Lonchura striata: one gene and its partners. Each later gene encodes a partner of the first gene's protein in a complex. Links are inferred from orthologs where the notes say so. Each region holds a gene or a part of one and is shown in the gene's direction. Other genes may lie near its edges. The genes, in order: POLR2E, ERCC3, TAF1A and ASDURF.

What was found.
Region 2: POLR2E (region 1) and ERCC3 share a complex: the UniProt entries of both Homo sapiens proteins name them as parts of the TBP-based Pol II pre-initiation complex. The link is inferred for Lonchura striata from reciprocal best matches to the Homo sapiens genes POLR2E and ERCC3.
Region 3: POLR2E (region 1) and TAF1A share a complex: the UniProt entries of both Homo sapiens proteins name them as parts of the pol I pre-initiation complex. The link is inferred for Lonchura striata from reciprocal best matches to the Homo sapiens genes POLR2E and TAF1A.
Region 4: POLR2E (region 1) and ASDURF share a complex: the UniProt entries of both Homo sapiens proteins name them as parts of the PAQosome complex. The link is inferred for Lonchura striata from reciprocal best matches to the Homo sapiens genes POLR2E and ASDURF.

What each region holds. Positions count from the first base shown.
Region 1 is NC_134630.1:6,510,661-6,517,761, forward strand, and holds POLR2E (DNA-directed RNA polymerases I, II, and III subunit RPABC1), read left to right. Parts: upstream 1-4,134; 5' UTR 4,135-4,204; coding exon 4,205-4,261; intron 4,262-4,406; coding exon 4,407-4,581; intron 4,582-4,867; coding exon 4,868-4,983; intron 4,984-5,361; coding exon 5,362-5,442; intron 5,443-5,602; coding exon 5,603-5,661; intron 5,662-5,797; coding exon 5,798-5,876; intron 5,877-6,010; coding exon 6,011-6,076; 3' UTR 6,077-6,084; intron 6,085-6,335; exon of another isoform or gene 6,336-6,436; 3' UTR 6,437-6,584; downstream 6,585-7,101. UniProt on the Homo sapiens protein: DNA-dependent RNA polymerase catalyzes the transcription of DNA into RNA using the four ribonucleoside triphosphates as substrates.
Region 2 is NC_134610.1:14,403,499-14,411,149, reverse strand, and holds the start of ERCC3 (general transcription and DNA repair factor IIH helicase/translocase subunit XPB), read left to right. Parts: upstream 1-4,635; 5' UTR 4,636-4,708; coding exon 4,709-4,727; intron 4,728-4,809; coding exon 4,810-5,015; intron 5,016-6,552; coding exon 6,553-6,789; intron 6,790-7,410; coding exon 7,411-7,460; intron 7,461-7,651. UniProt on the Homo sapiens protein: ATP-dependent 3'-5' DNA helicase/translocase. Binds dsDNA rather than ssDNA, unzipping it in a translocase rather than classical helicase activity. Component of the general transcription and DNA repair factor IIH (TFIIH) core complex.
Region 3 is NC_134605.1:7,871,117-7,878,644, forward strand, and holds the start of TAF1A (TATA box-binding protein-associated factor RNA polymerase I subunit A), read left to right. Parts: upstream 1-4,522; 5' UTR 4,523-4,595; coding exon 4,596-4,731; intron 4,732-6,196; coding exon 6,197-6,366; intron 6,367-7,190; coding exon 7,191-7,304; intron 7,305-7,528. Other genes in the region: MIA3 (transport and Golgi organization protein 1 homolog), read right to left, coding at 97-230, 920-1,076. UniProt on the Homo sapiens protein: Component of the transcription factor SL1/TIF-IB complex, which is involved in the assembly of the PIC (pre-initiation complex) during RNA polymerase I-dependent transcription.
Region 4 is NC_134610.1:30,857,961-30,865,970, reverse strand, and holds the start of ASDURF (ASDURF protein), read left to right. Parts: upstream 1-5,000; 5' UTR 5,001-5,074; coding exon 5,075-5,149; intron 5,150-7,294; coding exon 7,295-7,348; intron 7,349-7,857; coding exon 7,858-7,933; intron 7,934-8,010.

The sequences.
Region 1 (7,101 bases):
ACCCCTGACACCCCGAGGTCACACACCTGCCCTGGTACCACACAAGTAGGCTCAGTTTAAGGCTACTCCGGTCCCTGAATTTTGTTTTGGGGGCCTGTCCTTACCCCCTTCCCTAGCTGGCACCAGGCTAGGCTCAATCCCTGCAGTCGGGGCCACGTTTCACCTCCTTACCTCAAAGTGATCACCAAAGATGGGGGAGCCAGCGGTGCCCCCCAAAGCCCAGCTGCTGCTCCGGGGGCTCCTGCTCTCCCCCAGCTCTGCTTCTCTTGACCCCAGCAGCCTTCCCCGGGCGCAGGCAGAGCCAGGCTTCCCCTCTCCACACCTTCCCCTATTTAAAGCACTGCTTGCTTGAGGCTGAATTCCCAGCAATGAGGGAAAAAGACGCCGGGAAAACCCAACTCAAAGAGGTTTAAACTCAGGAATAGCGAGGGGGAATTCCCTGCTGGGCACCCTCTGCTGTCACCGGAGCCTTACCTGGTGGCTTTGACCTTAACTTTAAAATATATGCAATCTTCCCTCCCTGGTCTCTGGAAAGACAGAGACCACCTTCAAGGAATCCCTTTCTTGCCCCAGTCCCGTGTTTTGTCAGGGTTAATAATATGTATTGTTACCTTTTAACTAAATTATTCTGCAGTTGTCCTACTGATTGTATTTTTAATGAGTCCCTGTTTTCTTCCCTGACACCTTTGTGTTGGCACTTTTTAATCTGCTTGTTGTTTGCCCTTGTTTCTATGTATATTTATAATTAAGTTGTACATACTGTAAAGAGATTTTTTAGAATATGTGCCTTGGACTAATAATTCCTGAATTTTCTACTTGCCTCAGAAAGATAATTTTTCATTCTGCTCAGTAAAAATGGAACAGAAGCCACATGTGAGATTTCTGTAACTCTCAGCTCTGTCTCTTGGTCTATCCACCTTGCCCCAGGAGCCCAGCTGGAGCTCGGATCAGGAATCCCTGGGCCAGCATCCTGCTGGCAGCTGGACTTTGTATTTCCCGTGTCACCAAATGGGTGACACTGGGGGCTGTTGTCCCAAGGCTCCCTCTCTCCCTGGGAGAAGCCACTGCTCATTGAGAGGAGGATCCTGTCTGGATCCGGCCTTGGATGAGGCAGCTCCCTCATGGCTTGGCTGGAAAAACACAGATAAAGGCGCCTCTGTTCCAGTGTGTTCCCCCAGCAGGAACTGCCACAGCTCTGGGATGTCTCATCCAGGCACTGCTGCTCCTGTTACCTCATGGAAGGAGGGCTGGGGTGACTCTCAGTGATCAGGATCCTCCCAGCATCCCTGATGTGCTGGGCTGGAAGCTCTGCAGGGGTGCCAGACCCTGGGATTTTTTCCTGGGGACAGACTCCCTGAGGGGGCTGTGGATGTGACAGGGAGAGGCAGCACTTGCCAGGCCCTGGGAGGAGCTGCAGCAGCAATTCCTGCACGGCAGAACCTGAGCTGTCCCTGCCCAGGATGGGACACCAGGGCTTGGCTGGGCACGGCCATGGCTTCACAATCACCAAGACGCTGCCCCGAGGAGGAGGAGGATGATCCTGCTTACTGTGGTCAGACATGTCCCTGGCTGCAGGGGATATTTTGCCGTGTCCCAACACGCCTAGATTCTATTCTGCAGGAATTTCTCCTGGGCAGGGCTTGTACCACTGCTGGACCCATCCCCTCTGCTGCCCTGTCCTACCAGGAGGATTCCTGGAGCCAGGAGAGATCTAAGGGGGAACAAATCTTCCCCAGCTCTGCCTTTGCCCAGGAGCCCCTTGGGAGCACGCAGCATGCTGGATTTACGATTTACACTCCCTCCTCTACACTGAGGATTATCCCTGCTCGGCTCAGGAGTTGCATAAGGTCTTGGCTTGCCAGCAAACTCCAGGTCATCAGCAGGAGCTGACAACTCCTGGCCAGCAAACTCCAGGTCATCAGCAGGAGCTGACAACTCCTGGCCAGCAAACTCCAGGTCAGCAGGAGCGGCGCAGCAGCCCCATCCCAGGTTGGGAACACAGCAGCTCGTTCCTAATGCCTTTATTGCAAAGGGACTCGTTACTGCCAGGGGGCTCCGGCTGCTCCTGCCCACAGCGGCCGTGGGCCCAGAGCTTCTGTCCAGCAGTTGCACGCCTCGGGTCAGGGCTGCCCCACCAGCAGCTGGATTGGAGGCAGCCCGTCATGGGGCTGGAGGAGGCTCCGTGGGCAGCAGGGTCGGGGCGGGCAGGGGGACAGCGGAGCAGAGCTACAGGTAGGCAGGCAGGTCCTTCTCGATCACCTGCGGGGAAGAGGGGAACGTTGTACCCCCAGAACATCCCCGGCCTTTCCCTCCTCCCCAGCAGCTGCACTTACATAGGGATCTTCCATGGGGCTGTACCTCTTCACCACTTGACCTTCCCGGTTAATGAGGAACTGTAGGAATGAAGCAACCCCTGGTGAGCGAGTCCAGGGAGCTGATGGGGGTGTGGCAGCTGTAGCCCCCACAGATTCACTTCCCCCCTCAGCTGTGCTCTGGGCAGGGCAGGGGTTCCCAAGGGTCTCTAGACACAGGAACCCCTGAGGATACTCCTGCCCTGACACCTGGAGTACCAGCACAGAGCAGAGCCCAGCGTGAGGCTCCCTCCTACATCAGGGACCCCCCTCAGATCCTCAGAGGAGGCAACCAAAACTACAAGCGTCCTACCTTGGTGAAGTTCCATTTTATTGCACTAAGAGAGAAAGAAACAGGAGTGAGTTTTGGGCAGAAAAGCCCTTCCTTGTGCCCAGCCAGGCCCTGAGCCAAGCCCTCCCTGCTGGCTGCAGGTCCCCAGGGCTGTACTTCCCACACTCACTTGCCCAGAGTGCCTCGCCCTTTGGGCTGCTCCTTCATCCACTTCCAGAGGGGGTGAGCATCATCCCCGTTGACATCGATCTTGCTGTACATGTCGAACTTCACCCCGTAGTTCTCAGCAAATGCCTTGATCTGAGCGTTGTCCCCGGGCTCCTGAGGGGCCGCACCAGGACCGTGAGGCTCCCCGAGCCATCCCAAAGCTCCCAAGGAACCCGAGCCCCCCGTACCTGCTTCCCAAACTGGTTGCAAGGAAAGCCCAGGATGCGTAAACCCCTCTCAGCGTATCGGGCGTGCAAGTCGACAAGCTGAGTGTAGTTTACGGCGGTTTTGCCTCACTTGGAGGCTACGTTGGTGATGATACACACGTCTCCCCTGCAGAGGAGGGGGATGAGCTGCCCTTCCCCGCAGGGCACAGGTCCCTCACCCTCTCAGGAGAGGCGTGCGGGTTACGCAAGAGCCGCTGTGGCTCAACCTCGCCCGGCGCGGCCCCGGCCCCTCCGTCCTACCGATATTTTTCCAAGGACACGTCGTTGCCGTCGATGTCGAGGGCGTGAAAGTCGTAGATAGCCTTGGCCGAGCGCCAGTCATCCGCCTGGGCACACTGCGGGGCGGGCGCGTCACTGCGGAGCTCCGCGCCGGCCCCGCCACCGCCGCTGCCCCCGGGGGACCCTCGGAGCCGAGCCGCGGTCCCGGAACGGGCCGAGCCCCCGCCGCCCGCCCGGGCGGCCCGCGGGAGAGACCCGGGGCCAGCCGCGGTCCCCGGGCGGACCAGCCCCGCTCCCCGGGCGGGCAGAGCCTCGGTACCCGGGCCCGGCCGCTCCCCCGGGCCCGGCCGCTCCCCCGGGCCCCCGCACTCACCATGCTCCGCACCGGTCCCGGTCCCAGCCCTGGTCCCAGCGCCGCTCCCGCCGCCGCCGCCGCCCGCGCGCAGCACAGCACGCCCCGCACCGCGCTGGCCCAGCCCATCCCTCACAAACCCCGCCCCTTTCGGGCATATCAGCCAATCGGCACGCATAGAGGCGGCCTCGGCGGGATGATGGATGGAAAGCTGACCAATAGGAGGGCAGGGCGGGCGGGGTGGCCGCAGGGGTGTTGATCGGGACAGACCACGAGGGCGGGGGGCAAGGACGGAGCAAAGGGCGGGGTGTGGAGCAGGTGCCGCGGCTGCCGGGCGGCGATTCCCTCCCGACCCGGCCGCGGGTTCCGAACAGAGCCGCAGCCACCCAGAGACCCACGCTGAGAGCAGCAGAGAGATTTCTGTTCCCTCCGGAGCCAGCGGAGGGGGGCAGCTGGCGGTGGACTACATCTCCCAGGAGGCGCCGCGGCTGAGGCCCCCCGCGCGCGCGGGGGTAGGCGGCAGCGCGGGCAGCCCGCGGGGGCCTCGGCGGGCAAGATGGACGACGAGGAGGAGACGTACCGGCTGTGGAAGATCCGCAAGACCATCATGCAGGTCCGGGAACGGCGGCGCCGGGAGGGCCCAGCCTGGCGGTGGGGAGTTCCGGCGGCGCTCTGGGGCCGCAGGGTGGAGGTGTGGGACGCGGAGGCCGGTTCGCAGTGCCGGTTCTCGGTTGCTGAGGCCGGCGCTGCTCCCGCAGCTCTGCCACGACCGCGGGTACCTGGTGACCCAGGACGAGCTGGATCAGACGCTGGAGGAGTTCAAGGCGCAGTTCGGCGACAAACCCAGCGAGGGACGTCCCCGTCGCACCGACCTGACCGTGCTGGTGGCTCACAACGATGATCCCACCGACCAGATGTTCGTGTTCTTCCCCGGTGAGCAGCGCCCGCCCGGGCGGGTCCGGTGAGCCCGGGCCTGGCTGAGCCCGCAGGGGAGATTCAGAGCACAGGGGTGACCCGGGTCTGGCTGAGCCCTCAGGGGACATTCAGAGCACAGGGGTGACCCGGGTCTGGCTGAGCCCCCAGGGGAGATTCGGAGCACAGGGGTGACCCGGGTCTGGCTGAGCCCTCAGGGGAGATTCGGAGCACAGGGGTGACCCGGGTCTGGCTGAGCCCTCCTGCCGCGGACTCTTGGTGACCCCGGCTCTGGCTCTTTCCTCAGAGGAGCCCAAGGTGGGCATCAAGACCATCAAGATGTACTGCCAGCGCATGCAGGAGGAGAACATCACCCGGGCACTGATCGTGGTGCAGCAGGGAATGACCCCCTCGGCCAAGCAGGTCTGTGGGGACAGCACCGTGTCCCACTCAGCAGCTGGGAAGGTTTTCCTTGTCTGTTCCTTAGCCTTGCTGCGGGTAAATGAAAGCCCTGAATTGGCCTCCAGAGAAAAGCTTTTGCTGGAACCCGTTGTACTGAGCACAGGTTCTTTTTTAGCACCCAACTGTGTTTATCCAGAGCAGCTGGTCCTGGTGGCAGTGGCACAGCTGAGGGCCCACGGGCAGTCAGGAGGTGGGGGAGGGAAAAAGAGATGTTTCCCTGTTCCAGGAGCTCAGGGGCTTACCCAGGAGCAGCTCTGAGCACTGCCAGAGCCACCTCTGAAAAGTCTTTTTACTGCCAGGGCTGCCCCAGCCACCTCTAAAAGGGCTTTTTCCTTCCAGTCCCTGGTTGACATGGCTCCCAAATACATCCTGGAGCAGTTCCTGCAGCAGGAGCTTCTCATCAACATCACGGAGCACGAGGTGAGCGGTGGGAGGATGGTCCCTCCCTCGTGCTGGCTGCGTTCCTGCTGCTCCCAGACTCCTCCTCCTGCTCCCTGGCTGGGCTGAGGGACACACTTGTCCTTTTCCCCCTCCCAAACACTTGCTGCCTCACCTCACTCAGTCTCTCTGGTGTTTGCAGCTGGTGCCAGAGCACGTGGTTATGACAAAGGAGGAGGTAACGGAGCTGCTGGCCCGATAGTATCCTTTGAGTGTCCCCTTGCTGTCCCTCCATCCTGTGATGAAATTCGGGCTGAAAACCCCTCCTCCTGCCACGGTTCATTTCTGGTTTGTGAGCTGCCAGCAGTCCAGAGCTTCTCCTTGACTCCCAGCACAGCAAGCTGAGGGAGAACCAGCTGCCCAGGATCCAGGCTGGGGACCCCGTGGCCCGGTACTTCGGGATAAAGCGTGGCCAGGTGAGAGGAGCAGGCTGAGGCAGCAGCTTCCTGTGGTGGGACAGGGAGGGGATGATCCTGGAGGGCATTTTGGAGCAGAACAAGTGTCTCCTTCTCCTCCTCCTCCTGTTGTGAGCTCCGTGTCTGCCTTGCAGGTAGTGAAGATCATCAGGCCCAGCGAGACGGCGGGCAGGTACATCACCTACAGACTGGTGCAGTGACACAGTGGGTAAGGATGAGGGGACCCTCAGCTCAGGGGGGCTTTGGGCAGTGCCAGGGATTGTTCCAAGGTCAGTGTGAAGCAGCTGCTTCCAGGGAAATGTCTCAGAGTTTTAAATGGCTCACGGAGGGAGCTGTTGGGGAGAGCAGGGCAAGGCTCCCCTGCCACCTGTGCCTCTGCTCAGGCTGTGCCCGTTGGGATTTGGGGTGTTCAGAGGGACCTGGGGCAGGAGGTGATTCCCATCCCTCCTTCTCTTCCAGGTGTGAGGAGCTGGGTGGCTCCCAGCAGCAGTTCATGGACGCTCGGAGATTCCTGAATTTAGGGAATGCCAAGGAAATCAAATCCTCTTCCCTCTCTGCAGCCCCGTCACTGGGCCTCATTCCACATCTTGGACTTCGTGGTGACCCTTCAGTCCCATCCAGGACTCAGCCATGGGAGGAAATGAGTGGGAAGGGCTTTTCCTTCCCTGTTTTATGGGCTTTTGTTTGAAATAAAGGTTTGTACCCTCAGTGCCGCAGCGTTGCTCAGCCTCTCCCTGTGGCAAAGCCTCGAGACTCTGCAAGTTCCCATCATTTTCATTGCGTTTGGAATCTCTTCCTGCCAGGATTCTGCATCGTGGCTGGGCTCTGCAGAGCCTTTAGGAGCTGCCCTGGGCAGTTTGGAAGCTGCAGTTCAGACTCATCCTCATTCCTTCCCTGATCTCCTGCCCTGTCCCCTGGTTTGGGACCCCGGTGTTCACACGCTGCCATGGAGAGTTGCTCATCACCCCCAGCTGCACTCATTTGAATCCCAGGAGCCTGGGGGGCTTTAAACTTCACTTGTTGTGGCAGAAACACTTGGATTTGGCCTCTTGTGGCAGGGGGAGCCTGGAAGAGCCTGATCCTCAGGACAAACACGGGTCAGAACACGCTGGTTTTATTGTTTTTTTGGGAAGTTTATCAATGTGAACACAGCAAGGCAGCATTGTGCAGCAGCACAAGCCTGTCAGGACAAACATGGAATCGACACAACCACGAGGGAGCTGCT
Region 2 (7,651 bases), on another chromosome or scaffold:
AGAACCTAATAGTTTATGTAGGCAATTTTCAAGATCATGTAATGAAATTATGATTTCAGACTAAGAAGGTACCAAAACCAAGGTGAAAATGTATATAAAACCCTGTAGTGGTCAGTGATTACTGAAAAGGTAAGGAAATTTAACATTACCAAAAAAGGACATTAAAGGGAAAATGTAACCAGGTTTATCTGTAGCATTCATAACATTTAAATATACTATTCTAAAGAGAAACTGCACTCTCTGAAGCTTGAAAATTTTTAGAATCTAGTTTTCTTATAATGTGATCTTTCTGTGAGACAGTGCTGGATCATGTATATTGCAATATCACTTCCTAGTTGTGATTTTTAATTACTGAACAATCAAGTTTGCTGCTTTTGTGCCTTTTCTAAAAAACAATGGCATTCAGTCATGACAACGGTCAGCATTTTGGAGCCAGGAAGAAAGTGACTTTCAGAATACATTTTTCATCATGTCTTTGACATGTCAGAAAGCTGCCAATGTAAAGACTGTACTTCTTAAATGAAGTTGACATTTTCCAGTTTGAGTGATTCTAGTAAAATTTTACAAATATAACCAAGGCTAGGCTTGAGCTAGTTTTTCATCCTAAGGAGAATTTCTCTACTGACTTAAATAACTTAGAATAAATTTTTTGAGCTAGAAATAATTTGAGCTAGAAATAATTATGTAGCTAAATCAGACTTTTACGAAGAGGTTGGCTATTACCCCCAGTGGGGTAATGTAGTAAAACAAGCTGTATACAGGGTTTGTTAAACACTTACAGGGATTCCTGGAGTGATGGTGAATGACCCCTCATTCTAGAATTTGTGAGGTTGCATGGAACTTCATGCTTTAAACTCCATTGGAGGAGGATTGCAGAGCCAAGATCCCTACTCACAACTTATTGTATCTCACTTAAAAAGCCACCAGCATTTTAGACCAAAAATTGGTCTTAATTGTTGAATCCAGTTATTAAAAAATGCCAGTGAAAGCACTACTGCTGCAGGGCTGGTTTGCTTTTCTGTAAATGCCACAATGAAGCTGTACTCTCAAGAAATAAGGGTTCAAATTCACGGTGAGTATGTATATTTTCAAAAGTCTTACTTATCTAATGATTTTTAGTATTCTGTCTGTTGCACATAATAAGTGACAAAAGCTACTTCTGTGGTACGGTTTTAATGGTGTAACTAACCACCCTGTTAGAGCATGACTCAAGGTTTGACTTGTGTTGTGTTGGTGAAAGTTGCTTATTTTTTACTTGGGTGATAGAAATATCCATTGAAGAACCCAAAAGGGTATGGATGTAATAATTGCATGGTTAAATCTACAGACTTCTTTTCTTGACAGTTTAAATATAGTATTAAACCTTCTAACTTGATTCCCAATTCAATTTGTAGCTAAATAGTCGTTTCAGTAAAATAAAATGAAAAGTTTGGGGTTTTTTTAGCTAGTGCCTTTTTCTCTGTATGCCTTAATTTTGTTCATGTTGGAACACCATATTGAAATATGTCATACAATTTCATGTCAGCAAAGCTGCCTTAGAGAATGGGTTTTTTCAAAGTGCTCAAAGCAGAGCTTGCCTAACTGCATTGAAAAGTGTGCAGGAGTTATAATCTGTAGCAGTCATTCAAATTCAGAATTTAAAAGTGAGTTTTGGCTTCCTGTGCTAATCCACGTTTTGTATTTGCATTCTGGATATTGTACACCAACGTACATGCCAGAAAGATGATTTGTCTGCATGCACCTAAGTAACTGGATTGTCAGAATTTGGCTTCCTGGCTCTGGGTATCAGACTCTGCAGCAGAGTTTCTTACTGGGCTTGAAAGCAAAGTTGGTACTTTTGTAAGTGTGGTACTGTATTAAAAGCTGTTTACTTTCAGTGCACAGGAATATGATCTGTCAAGCAAACCAACAGATTTCTTTCCTGTGCCTTTTGGATAATCCTAATCCTGCTGTTGTCTTGACTGAAAGCCTTGGAGCACCTATAGGTACAGTGCAGTACAGCAAGCCATTCTTTTGGACAGCATAGAACAATGTCTAACTGCAGCTTCAGAGACTTGAGCAAATTGGTCAGATCTACAGTTATTTATAACCAATTTCTTACTTTTTTAATCTTGAAAGACTGTGTCACACATATAGAAAAGTATAATGTATGTGCTTGAATGTAAATCCCTATGGTGTTTCTGGAAAAGCAAAAGTATTGCCGCCAGTGTAATTTCTTCTTGCTGGTAATTTGCTGTCTTGTGGCAATGACAAGTCTGCAGTGTAGAATCACATACAATTACCAAAGCTTTTCTATTCCATATACATATAGCCAAAAGTGATGTTTCATGTCTCTTATAGTGTGTATCTACCAGTAAGCTGTTGCTGACTGAGTAAAGCAGGTACTAGTAAAAAGTGATAGACACTGCCCATATTTCAGACATGTGGGTGTTTATAGTTGCTGTTTGAAATGCAAAACTCATGCTTGTATTAAAATGAAGAGTCTTCTTTTTAAAAGCTCTTTCTAATTTAATCTTACTGTTGTCATTCTAAAATTACTGCATAAGCTTGATGACTAAAACCTGGTAGCTTTTGTAGCTGGGTTTGAGCCTTGGGACATTTCAGGAGCACCATGAAGATAAAATTGTGACCTGATCTGTTTTGTGCCACCATAGTGACAATGTTCCAAAGGTGTGGGAAGCGGCCAGTCCTCTTCATGTGACAGCAAGATGTCACCCACAGTTACTTGGGTGTGAGTGCTGCCTTCAGGAGGAGCCACTAATGTGCACTGAGGGGTCAGACAGGTTTGCTATCAAGCCAAGGTTTTTGAATCAAAATCTGTGATAATGAACAAAGGAGCTCTTTTCTCATTTTATATCCCCCCACGTGGCCCGCACCATTTCTTTTTCCTTCTAGTTGGCAAAGCTTAAGTCCTGCATAGGTGGTGGCCCATGATAGCTCCTGAGTAAGGTGTGTGTCCAGCTTTAGACCAGGGAGCCCATCACTTGAACCCAGGATGCTGCAGCTCCCATTTTGCTGGTTCAATATTTGGGTTTCCTCTAGCAATATATATGTGTACGGAGTTGAGAGGTAAATAGGATGGAGGAAATTATATTTCTCATGTTTCAGAGCAGTCACACCTTGGCTAGGACTTAGATGTCAGAAACTTATTTTAAAGGGAGAGGACCTGGATTAAATGGCATAAAAATTGTATCTCATAGTTCAGCCCTCATGCTGAGTCCACAGGTCAGGAGGTCAGGGTCTTCTGCTGAGAAATAAGAAAAAGGATATTCCAGCTTGTGAGTGGATAGTCATAGGAAATACATCAGAGTTTTTTTGTGCTTTTTATTCAAAAATAGATTATCTTTTTTCCCCAGAGGTTTATATAATGTGGATATAAAAACAAGGATTGCATTTTCTTTTCTGAACAGCCATTAGATTGTCAGTTCCCTAGTGCTTGTTTCTTGTTAATACCAGTAAAAAAAGGTGGTGTCACCCTAAAATTGGAATGGTTTGTTAAAGCATAGTGTCTGTCATCTCAGACCTCACAGGAGTTGTATAATGTAAATATGTGGAGGAGACTTAGATTAATTGGAACGTAGGATTTTAGTTTTCATGAGGCTATGAATAAAAATTTGTAAATTTACTCTTTATCTAATGTACATTTTTATGTAGCCATTAAATTCTCTATTTAATCTATCAGTTTCTCACTGTAAATGTTTTTACTCTCAGTTGAATGCTGGGCACTGTTTGTAATGTATGTACACAAAGGTGTTTTTTTCTATCAACATTGACTTTTTTGCACATTTTTGGAAATATTTAATTTGTACACTGATTTAATACTCTGACCAATTGTCGATGGATGTATGAGAATCACGTGTGTGTGCAATGTACTACTGTCTGGATGTATGGGGTTTTTTATTACTTTTGAGATGTTGCTGCCAGTAACTGCACTGCTGTTGCTGCTTTACATGGAATATCTTATGTATAAAAAAAGATAAAAACAATTTAAAAATTAGCTGATGGTTGAGGAACTCAGGAGTTGGGCATTGCTTGCTGGTTCCACTGTCTAACAGCCTTCCAAACTTAAAAACAACCAACCAACCCCACCTTGTAATTCTGTGTATGCATTGAATGTGTGTGTATATATCCCAGTAATCTTATTCCACAATTTCATTTCTACATTTTTATGAACTTGTTTTTTAAGGGTACTATGTTTAGTTAGAATAATTAAATATATAAAAGCTTTGAGAGATGATTTACTAGATAAATATATTTTCAGCTGGCTGATGTTCAAAATATTTTTTTAATTTTTGTTTTTAACCATTCGAAATGTATTTGTATTTCCAAAATCAGACACGAATTGTACTTAGAAATATATTAAAACACTCTGTAGGGACAACAGTGTGATTTCTCTTTTAAGAATTCTGTACTTCAGAACGCTGCGCAATGTCACTCTCGTATTTCAATTCCGAGTTGGCTTTTTTATTGTTATTTACGGTGCGCTTTCCGGAAGTTCAATTTATTTTGTTAATTTTAAATTCTTTTTCCTCATTTCCCTCTGCCCCGGGGTGTGGCTGCCCCCCGTGTCCGAGGCCCCGCCCCGCGCCCGCCCGCACGCCTCCCCGCGGCGGGGGCGGCCCGAACGGAGGGACGGTGGTGTCTCCTCCCCTGGCGGCGCCGCCCCGCGGAAGTGACGCGCGGGCGGGCGCGGCGCGGCGCGGCGGCCATGGGCAGGAAGGAGCGCGGTGCGCGGGGCCGGGGAGCGGCGCGGGCCGGGCCGGGCGGGGGCACCTGGGGCGCTCGTCACAGCTCCCGCTCTGCTCCCAGATAAGAAGAAGTCCAAGAAGCGCCATTACGATGACGACGAAGACGATGAGGACGAAGGTGCCGGGAAGGAGCCGCAGGAGGCGGTGCCGTCGGCGGCGGGGAAGCAGGTGGAGGAGAGCGGCACCAAGGTGGACGAGTACGGCGCCAAGGACTACCGGCTGCAGATGCCCCTGAAGGCCGACCACAGCTCGCGGCCGCTCTGGGTGGTGCGTGCGGGGCACGGCCGGCCCGGGGGGCCGTTCTCCCGGGGAGGGGCCGGGGCCGTTCTCCCGGGTGGGAAGCCGGGGCCGTTCTCCCGGGGAGGGGCCGGGGCCGTTCTCCCGTGGGGAAGCCGGGGCCGTTCTCCCGGGGGGAAGCCGGGGCCGTTCTCCCGGGGAGGGGCCGGGGCCGTTCTCCCGGGGAGGGGCCGGGGCCGGGCCGGGGCCGTTCTCCCGTGGGGAAGCCGGGGCCGTTCTCCCGGGGAGGGGCCGGGGCCGTTCTCCCGGGGGGAAGCCGGGGCCGTTCTCCCGGGGAGGGGCCGGGGCCGTTCTCCCGGGGGAAGCCGGGGCCGTTCTCCCGGGGAGGGGCCGGGGCCGTTCTCCCGGGGGGAAGCCGGGGCCGTTCTCCCGTGGGGAAGCCGGGGCCGTTCTCCCGGGGGGAAGCCGGGGCCGTTCTCCCGGGGAGGGGCCGGGGCCGTTCTCCCGGGGGGAAGCCGGGGCCGTTCTCCCGGGGGAAGCCGGGGCCGTTCTCCCGGGGGGAAGCCGGGGCCGTTCTCCCGGGGAGGGGCCGGGGCCGTTCTCCCGGGGGAGGCCGGGGCCGTTCTCCCGGGGGGAAGCCGGGGCCGTTCTCCCGGGGGAGGCCGGGGCCGTTCTCCCGGGGGGAGGCCGGGCCTGCTGCGGGGGGGGCGCAGGGCGGGTGGAGAGCCTCGGGCGCGCCTGGGAGCGGCGTTTGATGCGGTTCGGGGCCGTGCGGGGACAGCCGGACGGGAGCCACGGCGGTGCCCAGGGAGTTGCTCCAGCCTCAGCAGCCTCCAGGCGGGTCCCCGCTGTCCCGGGCGTGCTGCGGACCGGGCAGGGCAGGCAGCAGCTCGGCCGGATTGTCGGGGTGGGCTGTAAAACAGCGCGCTGGCTGATGACACGAGAGGGATCTATCACTGCAGTGACACAGTGTTTGTATGTTGGGTGAAACGGCTTTAAGACAGGCTGGCCTCAGTTTCTGTAACTGGTGCCATTTGTTTTCTCTGCCCTTTGAAAGGGACGTCAGTAAACTTGCCCGAGGTCTAGCAAGTGGTGCAGCATGGTGTGAAGAGGTGGTTTCCCAGCCAGTGTCTGAACGGTGCCTGTCACCAAGTGCTGTACAGCACCTAGGGCTGGGACACCCAAGTGCTGCCTTTCATTCATTCATTCATTCATTCATTCATTCATTCATTCATTCATTCATTCATTCATTCATTCATTCATTCCTTCCACATAGAATGAACTAGGAGTTTTGTTGTTCCAGGGAAATGGGGCTGGAAGCTTGCCTCTACTCAAGCAATTTCTTCAGCATTAAAAAAGAAGGAATACTCCAGCATGTCAGTCTGGAAAAACTTTATTGATTTGGGTGTGGTTTATTCATAGTCCCATGGAAGGAACATGGACAAATCAATTCCTGGACCATTTTCAGAAGACAAAAGTTACATGTTTATTCATTTTCTTGTAAATTCATTATGAGATTCAGTTCAGCTAACACTGTTGTGCCTTCAGCATTTGTTTATTTCTGTAGGCTCCTGATGGCCATATATTTTTGGAAGCCTTTTCTCCAGTTTACAAATATGCACAGGACTTTCTGGTTGCTATTGCTGAGCCTGTGTGCAGACCCACCCACATTCATGAGTACAAGCTGACTGCTTACTCCCTGTATGCTGCTGTGAGTGTGGGCTTGCAGACAAGTGATATCACTGAGTATTTGCAGAAACTGAGCAAGACTGGTGTCCCAGATGGAATCATTCAGTTTATCAAGGTAAGGCTATTTTACTGACATTGCATTGGAAATATATCTCTTTCTACTAAGGAATTCCTTTCCTGCTGCCTCTGCCTAATTGATTTATTATTTTTTAATAATCATTTTAAATGTTTTATTTTTCTGTCATTGTTTCAAGAGAGCATTATTCTTTTTCTGTCTTTTTGCATATAATATTGCTGCACACATACTATTTTCATAATATAGCCTTTGTGGGATTTATAAAAAGTACATGTAAGTGTCTGTGTAGATAATTTCAGCCAGTACAATCGTACATGGGGAAAGTTTCCTCAGATTTGCTTTGAAAGAAAACAGAATGTGGGAAGCAGCCTGTAACAGTGGGGCACTGTGAGACAGCCTGCCTTATCCTGCAAGTGTGTCCTCACAGTCTTGGAAACACTTTGACGTTAGATATAAAAAATTGAGTATCTGTGCCTGTTGTCCCTCATCAGATGATGTGAGCATCTTCTGAAAATACCTTTTCAGGTTTGCTCTATGAGCATAACAAGTAAATGTTTTGTGGTAAGGTGCTTCCCCACAAAGACTTAAAACCTTTGCAGTGTTTGGTCCTAAACGTGGAATCTGTCTTTTGTATGTTCCTAATGATTGCTCTCTTTGTAGCTGTGCACGGTCAGCTATGGGAAGGTGAAGCTGGTTCTGAAACATAACAGGTAAATGGCTTCTTCTTCAGCTCTTGTGGCAGGAAACCCTCCCATGCCCAGCTGTGTGTGAGTGCTCTGAGGAGCTCTGGAGTCTCACAGCTGCCAGCTGAGTGTAACAGCTCTCAGGTATTATTTTTACAGCTTTTGGAAGTATTCAGTACGTTAGCTGATGTATTCTGTTTGGCTGTCCTGAGCTAGCA
Region 3 (7,528 bases), on another chromosome or scaffold:
CCATGTTCAAAACTCCAAGCATTCTCTTACAAGGCAAAAGGAATGAAAACACATTACCAAGAAAAGCAAACAGAAGAAATGCTTTACAGTACTTACACTTCCAGCCCAAAGCTCAGTGGATTCTCCTATTAGTTTATAATATACATACACCGCTTCTCCCTTCTTAAAATTTACAAAGCGACAATCCGGACCTTTAAAATCCCGCATGGCCTTCCCTCGGCACATTAACACTGTCCAAAGAAAACACGGAGAAGAGTATGACTTTAAAAATAATTTACATGAAAAGTGTCTTTGCTAACTGGCAGTAAACAAGACCTCCTCGCATGCATCGTTTTGCTATTTTCCAGATTGGGTCAAGAGATAACAAAGTAAATTGAAAGTATAACTAAGAAATTAATAAATTAATAAAAATATAGATAAATTGGAAGTATAACTAATAATTTTTTAGCTATAATTAACAAAAACAAACAAGCCAAGTTATAGCTAAAAAAAAAGGCAAGTTTTAGCAGAAAAAGTAAAGCAAGCATTCTAGGCAAGACAAGGGTTTGACAAAGCACTGGAGAGCTACACTTCAGGGGTGAGCTATGAAGCTAATTACTAATGTTAAATCAGAAAGGTGACATCTGTGTCCCAGCGAACTGGTCCTGAAATTATCCCAGAGAACACCCAGAGAGCGGTTTTATCAACGGAGAGCTCTGCGTGGAGGGGGGTGGGGGAAACCAAACACGGAGCCGCGGGGATCTGAAAACTTGGCCGAGCAGAGAGGGACGGCGCGCGTGGGCGTCGCGTTCCCGTTTCCTCGATTGTCCCCAATTTCCGCGACAGAGCCGGCGCAAGGAGGGGGCTCAGGGAAGAGCCTCCGGGAGGCATCTTCGCGCACAGCTCCCTCGCCGGGGCCGCGCCCGCCGCCCCCACTCACTGCTGCACTCGAGGTCGGCGCAGCGCTTGCGCTCGGCGAAGCGGCGGCCCAGGTCGGGCGCGGCGGCGGCGCAGCGCGGGCCCGGCGGCGGCAGCAGCAGCAGCAGCAGCGGCAGGGCGAGCAGCAGCCGGGGCTCCGGCGGCGCGGCTGCGGCCATGGCGGCGAGCGCCGCGGAGGGAGGGAGCCGGGCCGGGAAGGAGGGAGCAGACACGTCAGCAGCGCCGGCGGGAGGGCGATGTGGCGGGGGAGGGACCAGCCCGGCCCCGCCGCCGCTGCCGCGGGAGGAGGGCAGCGCACGGACCCTCCCTCCCTGATCCCCATCCCGGTCCTGAGGAGGCAGGACCCCTAACTCCGGCCACTTTTCCCTCCTCGCAGGCCAGAAAAGAAGGAAGGTCCCGCCCCTTATTTGTGCGGGTTTCTCCAACTGAGGATCGCTGGAGTAACAAGAACAGAAAGGGTGTAGCTGCCGCCCTGTAAGGACGCGACAGATCCGAGCAAGCACTTGGCTGCTCTCCCTCCTGCCCCGCCGAGCAGTTCTTATCTCTGCTGGAGAGGAGCAGCCGCCACTTTGCCGGTGACCTCCGAGAGTTTGAGGTTACACCTGCGGTGCAGCGGGCGGAGGAGTTCATTCAGCCGCGATCCCACTGGGGAAAGTGCCGGGTTTCACAGCGGGCAGCCGAAAGCGCAGCATTCCTATCCTTGCCCTTCTGTAGCTGCAGCTTCCACTTGCTGGTACATTTTAAGTGTTGAGTGTTTGCAAGCCGAAAGATGTGCTACTCACACTACTTACCGTCGCCTTTTCTTCACATCCAGCACCTTAATATTGCCTTAGAGATCTAAAATGGCAAAATGACAGCAGAAGTCACAATGCAGATGAACCAAACTTCTCTTTTCAACACCTGTGTTATTTGTTCAGCACAAGAGCCTGAGTAGACAAAGAGAAAAAAAGATGCAGGTAAGAAAGAACAGGTGACATAAGAGAATACTCTTGCTGGTCAATCAAATGACCACATTTTTTCTATTTTTTTCTACTTTCCAGAGCAAATTCTGAAGCTGCTCCCAAAATGAATGAATTGGTAATCAGAACTGATAGTCAAAGTTTAGTGTTATTTTTTTGTGGTTTTTTTTTTTTTTTTTTTTTTTGTTTTGTTTTGTTTTGTTTTGTTTTGTTTTGTTTTTTGTTTGTTTGGTTTTTTTTGTTTGGTTTTTTTTTTGTTTTTTTTGTGATTTTCAGAACAGCTGAGGGTTTTTTCCAAGAGCTTTTTAGGAGCTCTTTTAAATGCTACATCTAAAGACTTAGCAATCGCGGTTGCTGATTGCATGTGCTCCTCTTGCATCCTCATGCCTATTGATTTTCACTCCAGACTCTCATTTCCACAGTCTCATTGTACAAGGCCTTAGATCCAAGTTTAGTTACTACTGTGTAATCTCTGAAAAATATGTGTTTCATTTTCAGTCCCCATCTAGAATAGCTTAATATTTTAATCACAAAACGAAAAAGTGTCAAGTGTTGATACCTCTTTGCCCAGCATCCCATGGACACCCTGGCATTTCTTACAGTCCTGTGTATCCCCAGGACCCACAGGCTACACAAATGCAATGGTTCATTCACCCAGTGCTCATGTCTGCTCTCCAGGCCTAGTGCAGTATAGTGGTTATAGCTCTCCTGCAATTTTGTTGACGTTTCTGTGCTTCACATCTTAAAAAATGAGGTGATCCCTATTTGACATCACTGATATTGGCTGATTAAAAGCTCTAAGAAAGCCTAACTTAGAAAATCTAGACGTTTGTCACAATTTACAATATGGAAGTAAATTCATTCAAGTCACATTATACGATAATTGTATGAGTGAAAGATAAGCATTCTTTCCTCAACATTAATATTTCATGTTGTATAATGCCCAGAGTATTAGGTCCAATTTCTTGTGAAGAAAGAGCTGTTATTTCCCATCAATACAATTTATCAAACTTATCTTTATTAAAGATAAAAAAAGGTAATTGTGTCTGTGGTTGCAAAGACAAGGGCAAGAGGGAGATGTGAAGAAAAACAAAATCACATACTTCTTGTATAAGTCACTGCCTTTATTATACAATAATGAGCAGCTTGCAGTTGATACATATATACAAGTTTACCATTGCAACTGTCAAGTATTTCCTACAATATCAAGTATTTCAGGGTAATAAGGTAACCACTTATTAACATACGTAGCTTTCCTCAATGTGTGAAAGAAAAGAAAAATATTTCACTTAGTTCAATTAAGATATTTCAAGCAAAATTTCCTTCCAGTCTTCAACATCAATCTTGGATCTAGGATCCTTGGACCAATCTTGGAAACATGTATTCCGCCACTGTACATGAGGTATCTAACATTCACCTACTCTTAAAAAGCAGTTCTCCTACCTCTTCTGCACTAAAATATCTACTAAAGTAGCTGATACCCATTAACAAGATCAGTTGGCTAAGTTTACCTAAGGATCAGGAAACACATATGTATAACACAGGCAAATAAAAATAACAAGCCAAAAGTAAATGTTCTTGCATGCAAACATGAGAACTTTTACCAAAAAATGGGGATAAGTTGGATTCTGAAATTAGAATACTGAGCTAACAGAAGATCAGGGGTGTTGTAGGAAATGGCATCAAACTTGGGCAACACCAGTGATCAGTGAGGCACTGACACAAGGTACAAATTATAAAGAACAGTAAAAAAAAAAATGGCACTGATAAACATGTGGTGTTAAGTAACATTTTATTATTGTCAATCAGGTAAGTTAATTATCCATTAACAATACTTATGAACTGAAATGCTGGCCTTTATTGGAAGAACACAGGATTAAAAATAAAGAAAAAGCAAAGAGAAATTTCTGTTTTCCCAAAGTTTATTTATTAAATACCATATTAAGGTATGATATTGAGGTTTAAGTGTTTAAATGCTGCACACAACACAACTGTTCTGCCTTGCGCTGTTCCCAACACTGGTTATTGATCACAGCTGAACCAAAACACTGCATCACATGAACCTTTAATCTGAGCCAGTTTATTATTTACTCACTCTCCCATGCCAGGGCAGTTTAGGAAAAAGAAAAACAAAAAAAAAAACAACAACTCTGTGAGTACTCTTATGCAGTAAACTGGACTTTATACACATCAAAACAGTCCAAGGCAAACTCAGTTCCAAAGTGGCTAAAAGAAACAAGTTCCAGCACAGATTTGTATAAACCAGATGCTGCGGCTAAGGCAGCCGGACTCCCAAAATCCAGCAGGAGCACAGGCAGTATCATTGCTTTACAGTGCACAGGATATTGATTCGGAATATTTTCCTTCCGTAGAACGTTATGACTTACAAAGGAACGGGAAAGTAGGAAAGAGTAACAGGAGGAGCTCGCTAATTTAATTTTTGGAGCAACCAGCGCATTAGCCACGGCTTTTCACGCTGATTGCGGCAGATATAGAAATAAACACCCCTCTGCCACCCCGCGCTCCACCCCGGTCCCGCAGCCCTCACGGCGCCACGGGCCGGGGGAAGCGGGAAACGCCGCGCATGCGCCGCCCGTCCCGCCCCTCACGGGCTGGCGCATGCGCAGGGGCCGCTCCCGCGCCGCGCTGCCGGGCGCGATCTCCCGGCCCCGGCCGAGCCCCGCACGGGGCGGTGCGAGCCCGGCTGCCCGCGCCGCCATGGACAGCTTCCTGGAGGAGGATGCGGAGGCGGTGGTGGTGGACGGGAAGAGAAGGAGGAAGAGGAGGAGGACTCCCGCCGCTCAGGCGGCCCTGCACGCGTCCCTGCACCTGCCCTTCCTGCCGCCACCGCCGGGTAAGGGCGGAGCGTTTGTGCGTTCCCTTCGTGAGCGCCTTCCTGCCGCCCTGGGAGTGGTTTTAGCTTCTCTCCGCCAAGTCGTCTGCTAGGGCCGGGAAGGAGGTTCGAAATAACCTCTTCGCAGTGGTTATTTTGTGAGGGCAGGAGGGCCCATGGTGGAGGGAGGGGATCCTGCCCCTCTGCTCAGCCCCGCTGAGGCACATCTGGAGTGCTGTGCCCGCTCCTCAGTGCAGGAGAAACGTGGAGCTCCTCGACAGAGTCCATTGGAGGACACCAAGGATGATTTGGGGTCTGGAGCATCTCTTATGAGGAGAGACTGAGGGAGCTGGGCCTCTTTAGTCTGGAGAAGACTGAGAGGGGAATTCATTAGTGCATATAAATATCTTAAAGGCAGGTGCTAAGGGGATAATGCCACACTTTTCAGTGGTGCCCAGCAGCAGGACACGGTGCTGTGGCCATAAACTAAAGCACAAGAATTTTCACCTCATCATAAGGGAGATCTTTACATTGATGGTGGCAGAGCACTGTAATAACTGCCCAGGGAGTTTGTGGAGTCTCCTTCTCTGGAGACTTTTTCAGATCACACCTGGACACCTTCCTGTGTCACCTGCTCCAGATGACTCTGCCTTGGCAGGTGGTTAGACTGGATAATCTCCAGAAATCCCTTCTAACCCTGATGGTTCTGTGATTACCTGACTTAGCCATTGTTTGAGTTATTCACCTGCCTACAGCATCCTGGTAGGAGTGTCTTTATGAGCTCTCCATGTGCCTTGCAGGTGGCTTTTCATGGATGAGGATGAGCATTGTTGTAGGGTCATACAGCCGTGAGCTTTAAACACACTTCATGGGAATGAAGTTTCAGTTTCATGCTGGTTTCAGTATAAATTGGACTACTAGTGATGTAAAAAGGCCAAGGGGCCTCTTTGCAGCCTTGTACTAAAATGAGAATAATTCTCTGCATATAACTTTGTGGGAAATGTTTAGCCTTTGGTACTGGAATGGTCTGTTTGTTTGTGTGCATGCAAATCTGCAGCACCATGGCATCACCAATTTAGGTGGTGATTAATAAGTGAAGAAAGTAGTCCCCAAAATATGACAAAATGTACTGTGAAGTTACCAAAGCACCATGGCTCCCTGATTCTGGTAGGGCAGTAGTGTGACATAAGTGGCTATTCACTGTTTCAAATGAATGGGAATTTCAAGCACAGCTATGTACTGCTTATGGAAAATGCCATTCCATATCATGTTTCCAGCTTGTCCCATAGTCCTGCTCCCCTGTGGATTAACAGATGTGTTTATCTTCAAAACAGTATAACTTAAGATGACTCTCTATGTAGTATCCATGCAAGAAAGATGCTGAAATGGAGAGCATGTGGCTGTCTGAATAAGGGCTGTGATTGCTGTGGGCTCTGTTGATTTTTTTTTTTTTTTGGTTGGTTTTTTTTTTTTCTTGTTTATTTAGTGTCTTCCAATGAACACAAGTTGAACTTCAAGAAGAGCAAGGAAGCGTGTTTAAGTTACATTCAGGATGCCTTGCTCCAAAAACAGTGGAAGAGGGCTGCAGAGTTTCTGACCTGCTATGTTGAGTCACTAGAGAAGGACTATTCCAGAGAGCGCATTGGTGCATCAGAGGTGAGCCCATGTTCCTGATCTGAGTTCTTTTGCAGTTGAAAAAATACTTGCAAAGCAGCATCCATATACTTCAGGACCAACAGCTGTCTTAATTAGCTAATCATAGGCTTGTTTTTTTTTTATAGATCCTTGACACAACAGAAAAAGATTTGGCTTGTTATAAGTTCACTCCATCAGCAGTGTGGCTATGAAAAGTCAAAGTAGCTCTCTAAAATAGGAAAGCAGTAAATGTGTTTGGTTCTGGCATGTCATCAGTCGGAATCTGTTTGCAAGTTGGTGGCTTATTTAGGTTGTTACCAGCTCTTCCAGTAGCTGCAAAACTCCTTGCAGGTGTTGAGATAGAATCAGGTGGAAGGAAAAGCATCAGAGCTTTTAAATAAATGGAATACTTGAGTATGGCTAGCTTGCAGACCTTGGAAACAAAAGCGTGTAATTGGGGAGCTACACTGGAAATAATCTTTGCTCTTAAGTTCAAAGAGTTGTGTATACTTGGTGTTTTAGTGGGGTCATATCACAGAAGAACATAATTTTTCAGTGAGGGAAGGAGGAACCCTCAGGCATGCAGTTTTCTTAAGCTCTCCTACAGTGCTGCATTTAGAATGAGCAATTCTGAACCACCCACTGAATGACTCTAAAAGTCCTACTGGATGAGTAGGTAGGTTACTACAGCAGTAGATAATGCTTTGTAGTATATTTTATTTGCAGTTCAAATGTACATTTTGCATGTCCTACAGTAACTGTAAGTTTAGTAAGACTGTATATGTGATATCTGTTGCCATTTTTGTACTAAGGCTGGTTTTGATATTCTTTCTCCCCATTAATAGATGATTTGGAGAATAGGAACTGAAATTTTGTGGCATCATTCCCAGAGCAGTGTGAAAGAGTTCAGCTGTTTCATGGAACAGATGAAAACTTTAGGAGTAAAAAGGTACTTGAAGGTGAGTGTACTTAAAGCAGCCCTGATGATTTTTCACTTTTACTTGAACACTTGAATATTAATTTCCAAATCTCTTTTGAAATGTACTACTGACATCAGTGTCAAAAAAACTCAAACCCAACATTTGAATTACCAATTCCATGATATTCAAAGGTCATTTTATACCTAACCTTATCTCATTTGTCTGTATGTTTGATCACAGATGTATGTTCTCAGTCCTTAGAA
Region 4 (8,010 bases), on another chromosome or scaffold:
GACATGTTCTGTTCTGCCCAAGCTCTCACTCAGCTATCTGTTGTGTGCCTATGGAACGTGCTTTATGAGGCTGTAACCTATCTCAGCCAAAATTACCAAGTCCCTCATTCCAGGAGACCCATATCATGGGAGCAAAAGCAAGCTGCCTCTTCCATACCTTCAGCCCATCCTGCTCAGGCCTGCTTACTCCTCTAAAATAATCTAATCTCTGGGTTTTATCTTCCAGAAAATATCAGTTGTATGTAGTATTAAACACAGTACTTACTCTCATGGGGGCACTCCCAACAGGAAAGAGAAGCAAGCCCATAATTATCACTCCAGTCTTCTCCTGACTTCCTTGCTCAACTTCACTTACTGGGCAGTAAGTCTTCACTTGAGTGACTTCTTGACTCTTCACTCAGAGGGTTTTTGCTGCAGTTATCTTTTCTCATTAGGCAGAAATATTAGCACTAATCTGATTTCATATCAAGATGCTCAATGCAAGACAAATGAGGCATCTGTTTATCCAAAGTTCCTGAGCAGTTCCAAGCCTCTCATATGCCTGCTCTTTGGTGGCACCAGCAGAAGAGCTTCCAGCATCCAGGCACCAGGCTTCCATCTTCATACTGCAAACAAAATATTTGTTTTGTAAGACACAGCATTTGATTTTTTTAAGGTCCCTGAACATTCCACTGCTCAAAATGTGTATCTGGAACTCTGATCCCATATTCAAAGTAGTTACTGCAGCAAACCTGTGCATTGGTTATTCAGAGTACGTGAGGGACTGCCCTGCAACAGACAACCCCAAATCTCATAGTTCTGCATTTCTAAGTGAAACTAGCACTAACATGAACTTAACTCTCTTAAAGTCTAACAAAGTGCACAACAAATTGTTCTGCACTAAGGAAGGAAAAATTATGAAAATTAAACGTCAAACTGTCTTCTCAGCTACAGCAACATAAGACCTTGAGAAAGGCTCTCATTAGAGCTACTTCAGTTTTATACTGTAGAACAGAGTGAACTTGGAAACGTCTATTTTTAAATCCACTCATACTTAAATCACAGATGAAAGACTGCTGGGAGTATTTTACAAATAAGTTGTTTGGTTCAGTACTTTCAGAAGCTTTGAGAGATGCAATCAGATTGTCAAAAACTAATGAGAGACTGATGATAGTTCTCAGCTACTTTGACAACAGCCTTAAAATCTTCCATGTGAAAGTGATGAAATTCTGCTTCTAATCATAAAATGAATAATTTAATACTTGTGAACTACATAGATTTTTTGTGCAAATGAGTTCTAAGATTGCTTTGACAGTGTATCAGAAGTTAAGTGCTAAAAAAACTGACTTCAACACCGTAAAAGTGCTCAGACTTCTTCTTTTATTTGTGGTGACAGGACTTTTAAAGTAGAATGATTATAGGTTTTGCAAGGTTCCTTGTGTCATTGACAATCTAGGTACTTAACCTAAGGAAACAAACTACAACTTTGCCTAGATTCCAGATAACCGGGTGTGTAAGTTAACCTAACTTCCTTCAAATCCTGATGTCTCAGAAGAATTAGCAAAAGGTTTACCATAAAGCAAACCCAACTATTTTCAACTATTTTCGTTTTCTTAGACTGGTATAAATTAGCAAATTATTAAAATACAGGTTCAACTGTGAAATTAACACAGCTTGATGTTACAAATCAGAATCTACTTATTTGGATTATGGTGATACAGTATCTGAATACAAAATAAGCTAGTGTCAGAACTGAGGATGCTCCAAAACAGAAAAAAACCTATATAAAAGCAATATCCTCTGACTGTGCTGCTCTCTCCTCCTAAGAGACTTCATCCACCTGTCTTACATGGCTGGCCCCACTCTTGACTGTCTGAGCAGCCAGCACAGCTTCAGCTTGCTCTCTTGTGGCCAACATTAGAGCTACAATTATCCTATTCCCCTCCAAGCACCTCTGTGACTGGTTCTTCTAAAGCATGACAAGTTTCCTCAGAGTACAATCACTTACAGGTGAACCTCATAAACCACTCAGAGTTGAACCCACAATTGATTATGGTGGCTTAACATGTTCCCAAGCATCAGCTGAGAGATACAGAATTGAGTGCATGAGGATTTCCAGCCCACAGCAAAAACCAGGGAAACTTTGAGGCTGCTAAGCCTCCAAGGCAGTATCAGTCCTACCCTGTGCCTCACAGCTGGAAAATCCTCTGACACAAATATACTGTCAACATCATGAACAGAGGTCTTCAAGACTTGACAGTGTTATCACAAGGATGGCCTCACCTCTTCAGCATGGTTTTAGCAGCAGCCTTTTGGAGCTTGAGCTTGGTTATTTAAAGGTTACTGTTTTGGCCATGCATTTGCTAACAGGTCACTGCAACTTCAGAGATTTTCTGGCATCAGTAACTACTTCTGGTTTTTAGCTGTTTAAATGACTTGTTGGGTAATTTCTGTTATTTAAAAAATATTTTTAAAGATGCCAGATACTGAAAGGTGAGGGCTTTAAAAGACTGAAATATTATTTGATACTTTATTAACATTGTATCGGGCATTGTTAACCTCCAGAAACAGTTTTATGCTAGTAAAAGAAAAATAGTTTAGAGCACCGAAGTTGGCACAAGTGCACAGACACAAGCAGAATGACCAGAGATGTATCACTGAATGACATTTCCTGCTTAGCTGTCAGCCAGATGAGCTCTAAGTGCCCTCCCCAGCTCTCAGGAGTAACAGTGCAGGCACATTGCAACACCAGAACTGCAGCAGCCCTGAAACAAACTTGAATGGAGAAAATACTGCTCTGCGCAGGGAGTGCAAAGGTGCCAACATTTCCCTTTGCTGACTTGCAAACACAGCGGGTCTTATAGTGGGTTTGACTGTAATTTCAGGAGTGATCTTGTGACATGAATTCATTCATTTTAAAAGGAACTGTCAAAAGCCCACTCCATATCAGTAGAAGAATCATTAAAACCATTCCACATTTGCTATTATGCCTCAAAACCATTATCATCACTCTTCTGAAACAGTCAATAACACTGAGTGATCAGGTTTTGATTAATAAACATTAACAGCATTTATTACTGAACATAAAAAGGATAATCAGTGCAGAAATTACACTTTGACTACTGTGTTACTTGATCATCAACCTTTGTAACACATGAACAACAAATAAAACTTGGGCAGCAGAGGGTTGGGAGTAACTCAGATTAAACACATTACTCACTAGAACAACCAGTGACAAACTACAAAGCACACTGAGCAATAGCACCAAAACTGATCTATGTGACCCAGATATGTGAATTTCTTATAGAAGTCAAAGGACAAGCCCCAGAACCATTCCACCCCCTGGGTAACAACTCCCCAGCAGCTTCAGCTGCTCTGCTTTGGGACTGCTGGAATCACAGAGCACTGTGCACTGCTGAGAAAAACAGATCAGGTCCCTCACCTGTCCCTCACACAGCCCCACACCCAGCCGTGGTGAGGCAGGGCTGGAGGCACAAGTGTGTGCTCAGAGGTGGGGGGAAGAGCAGGAATGACCTTTCAGACAAGTGTAACCTCAGTTTCTCTTTCTGTTAAAAGCAAATAAGCACAACTTTTGCAAGTTAGTATATTGACAAATATTCCTATAGCCAAATTGTCTTTCTTCATCCTTCTGCTAGGAGCCAAAATCCTTGTTCTTCCTATACGGCTTCCAAAAATTTTGATCAACATTACAGACATTCCAACCAAGCTCATGGATACAACCAAGGTGCAATCTTGCTCACAAACTCTAAGTTACCAAAATATATAATATATATGATTATGTGAGATTAAAGAAAATAAAGGCAACACTCTCTTACTACAGTTGCAAATATTTCAAATGGTTCATGAAAATTTGAACTATATTTGCACTGCAGTCAGTACCACAAGGACCACAAGTGGGATAGAAATCTCATAAAATCCTATAACTGAGCAATCGGTAGCAGTCTGTAAGTTTGGATTACTCTTGAGTGTTTAGAATAATATACAATGTTTAAAAAGAAGGAAAGGTATTAAAATGAGACAATGATGTATTTATTAAGACACGTAGACATATGCATCACTGTGACATATCTATAGCAGAATGGAAGAGACAAAGAAACGTTAAGATCACCTTAGGTGGACGGTCTTAAACATCCATCTTGTATAATAATAAAGTCATAGAATCCTGGAATGCTTTGGGTTGGAAAGGACTTCAAAGATTATCTCATTTCAATCCCCTGCAATGGGCAGGGACTAGACCAGGTGTCTCAGAGTCCTGTGCAACCTGGCCTTGAACACTTGCAAGGATGGAGCTGCCACAGGTTCTCTGGGCAACTGTGTGTCTCACATCCCCCGTGTAAGCAATTTCCATCCATCCAGTATCTAACCTAAATCTGCCCTCTGCCAGTTTTAGTCCATTCCCCCTTGTCCTGTCACTACATGACCCTCTAAAAAGTCCTTCTCTTTCTTGTAGAAACATATGCTAATAATGAACATAATGAAACATACGATCCTAATGTCTGTAAATAGTGTAAATTCATATCTCTTCTGGAATACCTTTAAGCAAACCGCTTAAAGGGGTTTGAGAGCCCGCTGCCGACAGTAGCCCGGGTTCACACCACACCAAGCCGACACGCTGCACAAGGAGCACAGCTGCCAAGCCTCATTCCAAGCGTCTTCTCCACCTTGGGCCTGTGCCGATGCCCTCCCGGACCGGCTCCCAGGAGCTCCGTGGGCACGGCACGGCACGGCGCGGCACGGCGCGGCACGGCGCGGCACGGCGCGGCACGGCGCGGCCGCCGCACTCCCGGCTCCGCCCGGCCGGGGGCGCGAGCTCCCTCAGCACTCGCGCCGGCCGGCCCGCGCCCCGCGCGTGCTCTGCCGCGCCTGCTGATTGGTGTCCCGTCAGGCGCGTGCTCTGCCGCGCCTGCTGATTGGTGTCCCGTCAGGCGCGCGCTCTGCCGCGCCTGCTGATTGGTGTTCCGTCAGGCGCGTGCTCTGCCGCGCCTGCTGATTGGTGGCGCTGTGCGCGCGCGCGCCCCGGGGCGGCAGCTGCGCAGGCTGCGTGGGCAGTGCGGCTGTCGGCGCGGTCGGGGCCATGTCGGGCCGCCCGGCGCGGCAGGAGGATGGGGAGAGCGCGGCGCTGCGCCACAAGGAGGAACTGAGCCGGCGGGTGAGGGGAGGCGGCCCCGCGGGGCCCGGTGCCGGGGTCCGGGCCGAGGCGCGGGGGCTCCTGGAGCCTGCTGCCTCGGGTGCGAGCAGCGTGAGGAAGAGGAGGGAGGGTGCCGTCTGGGACCGGGGCTCCTGTGCCCGGGGTTGCTCAGGCCCCGAGAGCGGCCTGCATTTAGCGAGCCCGCGTTGCCTCGCTAATAGCTCGCTCGTCGGATTGGTATTTTGGATCTTACTGCTCCAAATTGAGCTTGAAATGGCAAGTGAGGCGCACTGAGGGTTTTTTCACAGAATATCATGAGTTTCAAGAGACGTCTAGTGGTCGAGTCTAACTAACTCTGGCGCTGCGGAGAACACCCCAAGAATCACACCGAGGGCCTGAGCACGTTATCCAAAGGCTGTTTGAACTCTGTCATGCTGGTGCTGAGACCACTTTCCCTGGGGAGTTCAATGCCTAATCACCCTCTGGGTGAAGAATCTTTTCCTTGTATCCAGTCTAAACATCCCTGACCCTGCTCCAGGCCGTTCTCTGTGGTACTGTCACTGGTTACCAGTGAGAAGAGACCAGTGTCTTCCTCTGCACTTCCCCACCTAAGGAACTTGTAGACTGCTGTGAGCTCTCCCCTTAGTCTCCTCCAAGCTGGACAAATCAAGTATCCTCACCCGCTTCTCAAATGGCTTCATCTTTATCCTTGTTCATCATTATCTGCCCAAAATGTCTGAAGATATTTCAGCCATAGAGGCAGATGCTCCTAATTTATCTGTTCCTTCCTTCCTTGTCCCCACAGCTTTGTTCAGTATGCAATCTGCCAAGCCCTGTGGAACTTTCACTCCAAAAAAACCTCATATCAATTTACCTGTATTCCAATAGAGACTACAGGGAAGCCAGAGAAGGGGCTTTTTGTCAGGAACTGTAGTGGTAAGACAAGGAGTAATGTGTACAAATTGAAAGAGGGCAACTTTGGGTTAGATACTCGGCAGAAATTTTTTGCTGTGAGAATGGTGAGGCACTTACACATTTTGCCCCGAGAAGCTGTGGATGCCCCAACCCTGGAAGTGTTCAAGGCCAGGGTGGATAAGGCCTGGAGCAGCCAGGTCTAGTGGGATGTACCCATGGCAGGAAGCAGGTTGGGTCTAGATGATCTTTAAAGTCCTTTGCAACCCCTTAATATTATGTGATTATATTAAAATAAATTACTTCTGTGTGGCCATGTATAGACAGTGATGCTTTTAGTTGCTTGGAAGCTACAAAGCTGGGACATCAAAGAGCTACAGGTTTTCACTTCTGTTGTGCCTAAGTGGCTGGTTTAGTCTGGCAGAGGATGGCTCTGCTGCTTTGCCTTGTTGGTGTTGTAGATACCAGAGATTGATGTAGCTGCTGGAAAAGTTGTAACTTTCAGTGTGCCATACAGTTTGGCTGACCTCACTCCGTGGCAGCTTGCTACTGTTGTACCAGTTCCAGGAGACACAAAGGAAGAGCAGAGAAACCCATGTTTGCTTCTAACAAAAAGCATTGTGCCCTCTGAACAGATTTTGTTTCAATTTTTGGCATTTGCAACTTCTTCTGATTACTCTTTAGCTGTGAACTCTTTAGTTCACAGCTGCCATTGTAAAAGAAAATGGGAATATCTGCCACATCTGTCAGTGCAGAACAGAGTGGTAAATCCCACTAAGGAAGTTAATATAGAAATCTAGAGCAATAAAAAGGCTCCCATTGCTCCTAATACAGTTCTAGAGTGTTTGTATTTTCATTAATTTCCTTTTGAATCTGGAGCATACCTATCATTATGAAGTGTATTCTTGATATTATGCTAATTTTTAAAAGTTATTTGATGTTTTATTAGTTGTGTACATGTTCTCTTCCGAGGGGGGGAAAATGTGCTCTCTGATTATAAATAGCTGTAGCTACTCTGGCTTCCCAGAGGCTTTTGAGGGGAGGAGAAATACCAATATATGCAACATAGCCTGTTTCTAGAGAAATTAAGTATGTAATTTTTATACTTACTTTGTCTTCATTGATTCATGTGGAGAACAGCAGCTATACATGCATGTTGCTGTCTTAAAATATCAGTAGACATGCTCACCACTGGGATTGTGATATGATGTCTTGTCTTTATCATTAAAATCAAATGCATCTTTTGGCTTTCAGATTAAAGAGCAGAAGGTTGTAGTTGATGAGCTTTCTAATTTGAAGAAGAACCGGGTAAGGATTTACAAATTTGCTTTTAACTATTTAATTTCAGCAGAGAAATTAAAACATAAAGACAAGAAGGACAACAAAATCAGAGCATGCTGTCTTTAATTTGTTGTAATCTGGATTTTAATAAACATGTGGTCTGCTGTGCTCAGAATAATTTGTCCTGCAAATTATTTGATCATGTATACTTGGGGCTTTTTTATGTTTTGAGTTATTTCATTAAAATTTTTGAGTTTATTACATGGATTCATGAGGTATTCTTACTTTTTCTATGCTTTTGTTTAAAATAGAATGTGATCCCTTGTGGATGAGGAAAAGAGAAATTCAAAATTGTCTTAGGCTGAGCATTAAATGCTTTTGATAGTACAGCATTAGAATGCTGGTGTTCACAGGGCAGAACTTACACCTTCACTTTTATACCAGGAGTGTCTCTTTGGACCCACAGCAGCTTCTGCTGCAGTGTGGTTCCAGAATCTGCTGCTTTGACTTAATACAGTGTGGGTTTTGTTTTACAGAAAGTTTATAAACAGCAACCCAATAGCAACATATTCTTCCTTGCAGACCGGACAGAAATGCTGTCTCAGTGCAAAAGTAAGTTTGCAGTGTTCAAGTATCTCAAATAGTTAATGTTTAAAAGCTTATTTGTAGCTGATTTGAAAGGTGTATTA